Linked DNA regions of Drosophila melanogaster. The protein of the gene in region 2 interacts with the protein of the main gene of each other region in a biochemical or structural test. Each region holds a gene or a part of one and is shown on either strand. Other genes may lie near its edges.

Region 1 (3,754 bases), on a different chromosome or scaffold from region 2:
TTACACGGCTCCGTTGAAATATTTGTGGATTTTTTCTAAACAAAAAATGTTCTACAATTTCTAAAAGAAAGAAACACAACTTCTGCATGTCCTTTGTGTGTAAATGCATGTTTTGGATTGAAGATAAGGATAATGCTAGTTGATAATACTCACATGGTGCATGACATCCCGGTGCGTGGCAGGCAGATCCTCTGCGTCGACGAATCGCCCGTAGAGTGGGGCGTGGCGCTGTCTTCCGCCCCCGCTTCCGCTGCCCTGCGCTGCGTCGACGCTGCCGCCGCTGGACCCATAAGCGGACACTAGAGCGTAAGAGAAAGGAAGAGATCAGAGATACTATCAGATATCGGCGGGAATTATACAAATATATATGTGTGTATATATAATTATTGCGATGTATTTGCTTGCCGCCTTCGTTGTGCGCCGTTCTGTGCTGGTTCATTGACCGGATCGCTCGGACACCGCTCCTCTGCAAAATGCACCTGTTTTCTTGCACACCTGACTACGTCAGCGTCAAGAGTTGCCAAAACGATAATAAAAGCAAAGGGTAGGGCGAAAAGTGTGGACACACACCGCAGGAAAAACACTGCCAATTCCCATTTAAGATCTGATATAGAGCCAGCCCAGAGTCATGCATTCTTTTTTTAACTCAAGATGCAAAATTCGTTCTAAAATTAGTTGTTGAATTGGTGGTCATACTAGTGAGTTAAAGATAGTAAGCACATGATGCTGCCATATAAAAAAAAACGAATTGGAACATTTCTCTTCCTTTCCGAAGAATCTACTTTTGCTAGCAATATTTTTTTCCTGTGCATTGGCAGGCCAGCAGAGGTAAGTAAAAAAGAAGCTCTACCTTAATTTTAGAACCAGACGGAACTGAACTGAAATTATTACACAATATGCAGGCGCAGATACATAATTCTGCCGTTTGTAGATTCTATTTCCCCACGTTCCTATGACCATTTCACATGCTCACTCTTTTTGTTTTGTTGCTCTTCGCTCTTCGTTCGCTGATGGCTTGTGCAACAAAAATAGACCCAACGTTATAAACAAGAATGAAAAAATCAAGCAACAGGGTAAAACCTGTAAGTGGCAGCAGCTGTGTTTTCGATGATAATCCGCGACATTTGATATTCCAACACTCCATTTCTAATTTCCAAAAAAACATGTGGCGAGAGCAAAGATACTTTTCCTTTCTATTCGTTGACTAATTGTGCAAACGCAAAAAAAAAAGTTGTCGGTCAGTTAAACTGACATGCAACAAATTTTTCTAGGCCAACTTCTCTGTTTCATCCAATGGGCTTACTAGTATAATAGAGTGCCCGTTCCGCCTTCATTCTCGATGATGATGATGACGATCCCTGAACCATCAGCACATTGCCATCGACCCGATCTCTATCTCTATCTCCATCTTCATCTACATCCCGCTTCACATCCAACAGCACCGTGTCCCAGGCACTTTTGGGCAGGAATTTAGAGATGATCTGATGGCCAGCGTCGTCGTCATCCGCCTGATCCTGATTGCCATTTGTTGGCCAATTTCTGACACGATGCTGGCAGCCAATTTGCGCCAAATAATTGATGTAATGAGGCGGATGATGGTGATTGTGGTGGCCGTTGTGCGGATGGTGGTTCAAGCTGCTGCTGCTGCTGGTGATGATGCTGCTACTGAAGCTGCCACCAGCTGCTGCACCAACCACGAATGGCGCCCAATCCGCGGTGGCCTTGTCAACCGGATCGCCGCCATTCATTGACTGCCAATAAACCAGGGCCGTCGACATATCACTGGCAATCGGAATCGCAATCGGAATCGCGAACGCACTTTGCACTAACCGCTTCCTTTTTTCAATCAAAATGATATGCTTATTTCGTTTATTTTTATATAGTTTATTTAAGTAATTTAAGATCCATTTGGATCTGGCTGTATGAAGCGCGGTCTGTTTCGTGTGAAAATTCAGCGCAAACTGCCTCGGTTTTTGTTCCCCCAGTTCTGTCCCCAAAGTTTGCCACTCGTCGTTGTTGTTGTTGTTGTCGTCTGTTTTATTTATACGGAACCGTGTTTTCTCCCTGCTCTTTTATTTCACTTGGTGTTTTTGCACTTTTTTGCTGCACTTATGCGGAACACACGAACGAAGCCGAGCGCCGATAGCGAGATTGCAGCAACGATCATCACGATCTCGGCGTGGTAATGATCATGAAGCTAAAGTAGGGAATGCCCGGCTATCTGGCATCGGAATTCGCTATATTAACACTACACTAGACTCGTTCAGTGTTGCACAATTGCATTTGAGTAAATGGGAAATAGAAAAATCTCTTGGTGATATCTCTTGGTCAAATCCATACCTTTCGACCTTTGTTTCGGAGTGCACATCTCTGGTGTTGAAGAAGCTCAACTGATTGAAACAGTGTTGGGTAAATACCTTTCAGTATCTCCATATTGATCACAGAGTTACTTGCACTTGCTTGTGATTAACCACAAACGAATAAATCGGTTTTCTTAGGTATTCTCCCCCATTATTGTTGGTGAAAAGCTCACTTCTGGCTGGCCTTTTGTTTTCTATCACAAGTGTTTTTTTTGACAGAGGGAGTTCCGCTTTTCGTTGATAATGGCATTTCAATAATGACATGTAGCGTAGTGACATGTAGCGAATGCATGTGGGGTAAATGGGGGAACGCTGGGTGGTTGTGGGTGGGAAAGTGCTCGCACTTGTCTCGTGCGCGCAAAGATACAAATATACATACATACATACATACATACATATGTAAGTATGCATTTCTTTGTTTCGGCTTTTGCGTCGTCGGCAAGTCAAGGAAATCAAAACAAAGCAAACGAAATGTGAAATTAAAATAAAATGTAATTAACCCCAGGCAAAAAGTGTGTGTACATAATGCAGTGCGTTACAAAACTGTATAACTGGTTGAGCTGCCACTTGGCAGAGTGGGCCATAAAAATAGGAAATCGTTTTCGAAACTAAAATGCCCAGTAATGCCAAACGATTTTGAAATAATTATAAACTTGTGTTCTTTCGAGTTATGTAAATGTCTGTCTACACGCCAAGCTAATTTGTGTTTTCCATTTCGCCAAAGCAATTAAAAAATATTTTGCTTTTATAATAAACAAATTGAACGCTTGCCAATCGATGGAAGAGTTGAATAATTAATGCGTTCGGGGCCCCTCGAAAGATTCGCAGGAGCATAGCCACCAGTCCCTCTATTTATAGGGATCCCATCCGATCCGATCCGATCCGATCCTCCGTTCGCAATGTGGGATCTTTGCCCCAAAGTTCTCATGTTCGTTGTTTGTCTGTCGCGTCTCTCGGCCGAAAATAAAAATAGTTGACGACATTTTGCGTTCGCTCCCCGCCACCTTTTTGGCCACTTGCATTTTGGGCGAGGAATGAGGGGGGGGGGGGGGATAGGGCCACTACCAACAATCACACACCATCGATAATTGCATCCGGAGCAGGTGACTCACATCGTGACGTGACTGCGACTGTAATACTACTATTACCCACCACTTGACAACTTTATGAACAGATGGCGGCGCCAGCTAATCGGATACTAAAGTCTCGACATATTTGGCAAATAATGGGGAAGTCCCGCATAGACTTACGGGTTTTTCAAAACAGTGCGGATTGGAACAAATACAGACGGTGACGGTTGAGTGATAAGCAAACAGTTGGACATATTATTTACTGAATGAATGCAGTGACATTGTTGCATTCCTCGCCTGAGCAGGAAAAGCGGTGGAAATGGT
Region 2 (3,754 bases):
CGTCGGTAAGCGTCTCTAGGAATGGCGCCCATGCGTCAGCGTCGCTGGGATTCCGGAAGGGCACATCAATCGTTGATAGAGGGGCCTCGCTGAAGGCGTACGTTCGACAGTGCCACGATAGCTGACCCCTAATGCTGTAGGCAATGGCCGTAACAAACTCTCCTCCCAATCCCAATTCCGCACAGAGTTTAATGGCAAACTCCTCGGGGTTGTTGTTCTTCTCGGACATGTCCCACTCGACCTGGTCGACGAGCGAGGTGTTGCCCACGTGAATGTTCAGCTTAACAATGACCCGCTGGTCGCAGGTCTCCTCGAGGATGGGGGGATCGTTGGGAAAGGCTTCGATCTGCTGTCGGATGGCCTGTGCAATAGCCGGCACAAAGGGCAGGGGATTGAGGTCCAGGTCGTCGCACAGCACCTCGGCAAACTGCTCCGGAGTAATCATGCTCTCGTTCTTGTTCCACGTGAAGGTGTCGCGCAGCTTTTGACCCTCTAGCTCCATGTCCAGTCGAATGGGCACCAGGCACTCCTTCTGCGCCGCATTCTCCAGGCTAGCCGTGGGATCCGTGTCGTCGAAACACATCGGGAATGTGCGAACCTTCTTCGTGTGCACTCGGTTTCGGTTGATTGGCGTGGCCTGTGGCACTGCGTCCAGGTGGCTGGAGTTCGGCATCGTGGGCACATACTGTGGCTGCTTCTTTGACTTGCTCTCCCGCGGCACTGGCGTATCGGAAGTGTTCACGGAGACGGCGCGATACCTGGGACGGAGATTCATGGTTAGTTAAATCAACTGTTAGCAAATTGACTGATTGGCCCTGCAAGCAGGCAAAATTTACCCAACATTCTGACAATAATACAATTCTCCGTGCTCAATTGGAAATCGTTGTCAATCATACAGACTATTGTGGCAGCTTTGCCAAAAATGTCTATGACATTTTTCCATATTTTTTCAAAATAACTGGGCAGTGTGTGGCTATGTGTGTTTGTATACGTCTTCACTTCAGAATGATAAGTGGTTTTTAACTAAGTGGTCATTAACAATGTTACTAAAATGAAGAATCTTCAGCCAAATGTACACATGTCTTATATTTGATAAAAGGATTACTTGATACCATTGGATTAAACATTTAAAAACAAACGTTTAAGTAGGACTAGTAGGAAGTAGATATCAACGAAGTTAATTGGAATTTTTAGGAAAGGCCCTATTTAGTTACTATTCTGGGGACATTACTTAGGTAAGACGCCCACTTACTTTTCATCGTTGCCGGCCATGATATCATCCACCTCTACGGCGCGGAGCAGCGATACAGAGCTGGCTAAGATGTGGGAGCTGAGGCCGGACTCAGCCAGCCGCTTGCGCTCCTCGTTGGACAGGACGATGCGGGTCATTCCCGGGTACTTCTTGTACAGAATGCCGCGGAAGTGGCGCATGTAGTTGCCCACTTCCGAGCCCACGTAGTAGTACTCGCCGCCCTCCTCCAGCTGGAAGGCCACCGGCTTGTCCCCGTATGTCTGCAGTGCCATGTTGGGTATATTTTCTTCTGTGGTCTCTCAATGCCCTGTTTCTGGCAGGGATTCCTTGTTAATATTCCGCGACTTAAATTTTCTTGGCGCATACACAAACACAGACATGTACATGGCGTCTATTGCGGGAGTGTTGGAAAACGAGCGGGTGCCACCAACGCAATTTAGTACTGGCGCCTTTTAGCTACAAAACGCTAAATAAAAAGCTGAAAGTATTTTTCGTTATAATTACTCGATTAAATGATAAAATTATAATTCATAAAGAAACATATTTAGTTATTATTATTTTTTTTTAATTATACATCTCTGAATAAATATAGAAACAACAAGAAACAAATATTATTAAAATGTATAAGTTAAGTTATAAGTTATAAAATTATATTTACGGTTAGACTGCCATCACTGCCACAAAAACCCGTGCAACACTAGTTCCCATGCGCGAAAACATATTCGTTACTTATTTTTAAGATCGCTTTAAAGATGTCATTCTTACGCAGTGCTGTTGGTCTCCTGGCTCGTGTCAAGCTCTTGGAGGGCTCACCGACTGGTGAGTAACCCGGATTCACCTAATGCCAGTCAGTAATCGTGATTTTCGGCAGTGCAAACGAGGCGCCACATCAAGCGATGGGTTTCGCCAACGTTACGTGAGCTCGCCCACCGGCAGAAGAAACTAGGACCACAAAAGCCAGAGCGGCGTTCTGGGTTCGTGGAGTGGAACCAGCGATCGGAGCTCTTCGCGTTCGGCAAGCGTTTGGGCGAATCCTTTGAATTGTCGGAGCTGCAGCGTGCTTTTACAGAGAAATCGTTTGCAGAGCGGGAGGAGGATCGTCGTCGGCAGCTAGGCATTGAGGAGTCTGACCTCCAGATGCCTCACAATAGCGATCTGGTCGAGAAGGGCCAACAAATTGCCCGTGCCTACGTTGAGGCCTTCCTGCAGCACCAGTTACCGAAGGTCCCTAATGAAGGACTCCAGGCGATCGCCAGTTATCTACTTAGCACCGAAACGCTTGCTCACGTCTCGACCCACCTGGGCACAAAGGATCTGATACAGTCTACGGAATACCCGCCCTCGGCCGAAAGTCAGGCCAAATCTTTACACGCAGTTATTGGCGCCCTGGCCAGTTCCAGTGGAATCGAGAGGGCTTTCATTTTTGTACGCGATTTCATCTGCACGCAACTGAATCAAAAGGACCTGTTGGAGGTGTGGACTCCCCAGGAACCAATCCAGCTGCTGGAGAAGATATGCCAGGAGCGAAAGCTGGGCGAAGCGGAGCCCCGCCTGCTTGGAGACTGCGGAAAGAACACTGTGCTAGCCGCCTACCAAGTAGGCATCTACGCCAACCGGCAGCTACTGGGCAAGGGATTCGGTGAAGATGTGAAAACAGCCACAGAGACTGCGGCACTCGACGCTCTGCAGAGCATCTTTGACACCCGCGACAACCGGAGACCCTTTGACTTTGCCATTCAGCTAGAACCAAAGACCGTGCGACTTGGCTGAGAATCAAAACTGGCTCTGCGTCCTTGTTGATTATTGTAATTTGCACTAAACACATGTACGCATGCATTGTCAGAAAAGATTGCGTTTTAAAATCATTTAACTACGGGTGAACAACTGCCTCTTAATCGCTATCGTCGCGCTTTTTATCGTGGGCACTGGGCGTGGCCGGTGTGGGCGTCCCTAGGTCGTCCGGCTTGCTCTCCAGTGAGAAGGGCGGAATCTTGCAATCGAAGGAGTATCCGTCTTCGCGCTCCAGCCGGAAGGTGCCCCACATATGGCCGCTGGGAGCCTGCAGGCTCACATGGCTGCTGTACTGAAAGGCGGGCAGCCGGGGGCTCAGAATGGGCTCCTGGCCCACCACTCCTCTTCCGCGCACCGTCTCCAGGGTTCCAGACAGTGAGAAAATGCGCCAGTGGCGCTCGCGCAGCTGCACGCTCAGCTCGCCGAGGTTCTCCAGTCGGATGCAGTAGCGCCACTGGAAAGGTACTTTATGACGTTAAACTAAAGAAAGGAGTTTCTTATTAACGCACCCAGTAGACCGAACTAGCAGGCGTCTCCCGGCAACCCATGTAGAAGGGAATCACGGTAATGCGCACGTTCTCCGTGGTCTCCTTGTGTACATCGCTCATGTCCAGCCAGGGATGGTTCTTCTCCTGCCACGCCTTCAGAGTGTCCTGGCCCACAAATGGCGGGTCCGCGTCCGGAGCGTGCGTAAGGAACTTATCGAACAGC

The links. Proteins that work in one complex are often made in the same cells at the same time.
Region 1: of the proteins of Snr1 (region 2) and mnb, one has a biochemical effect on the other in vitro, tested with the Drosophila melanogaster proteins (one study listed by BioGRID).

The regions. Positions count from the first base shown.
Region 1 is NC_004354.4:17,873,102-17,876,855, forward strand, and holds the start of mnb (minibrain), read right to left. Parts: upstream 1,940-3,754; 5' UTR 1,779-1,939; coding exon 1,304-1,778; intron 300-1,303; coding exon 154-299; intron 1-153. UniProt on the Drosophila melanogaster protein: Role in the specific control of proper proliferation of optic lobe neuronal progeny.
Region 2 is NT_033777.3:5,468,829-5,472,582, reverse strand, and holds the start of Snr1 (Snf5-related 1), read right to left. Parts: upstream 1,658-3,754; 5' UTR 1,525-1,657; coding exon 1,253-1,524; intron 759-1,252; coding exon 1-758. Other genes in the region: mRpL44 (mitochondrial ribosomal protein L44), read left to right, coding at 2,005-2,071, 2,124-3,022; POLDIP2 (polymerase (DNA-directed), delta interacting protein 2), read right to left, coding at 3,144-3,497, 3,553-3,754.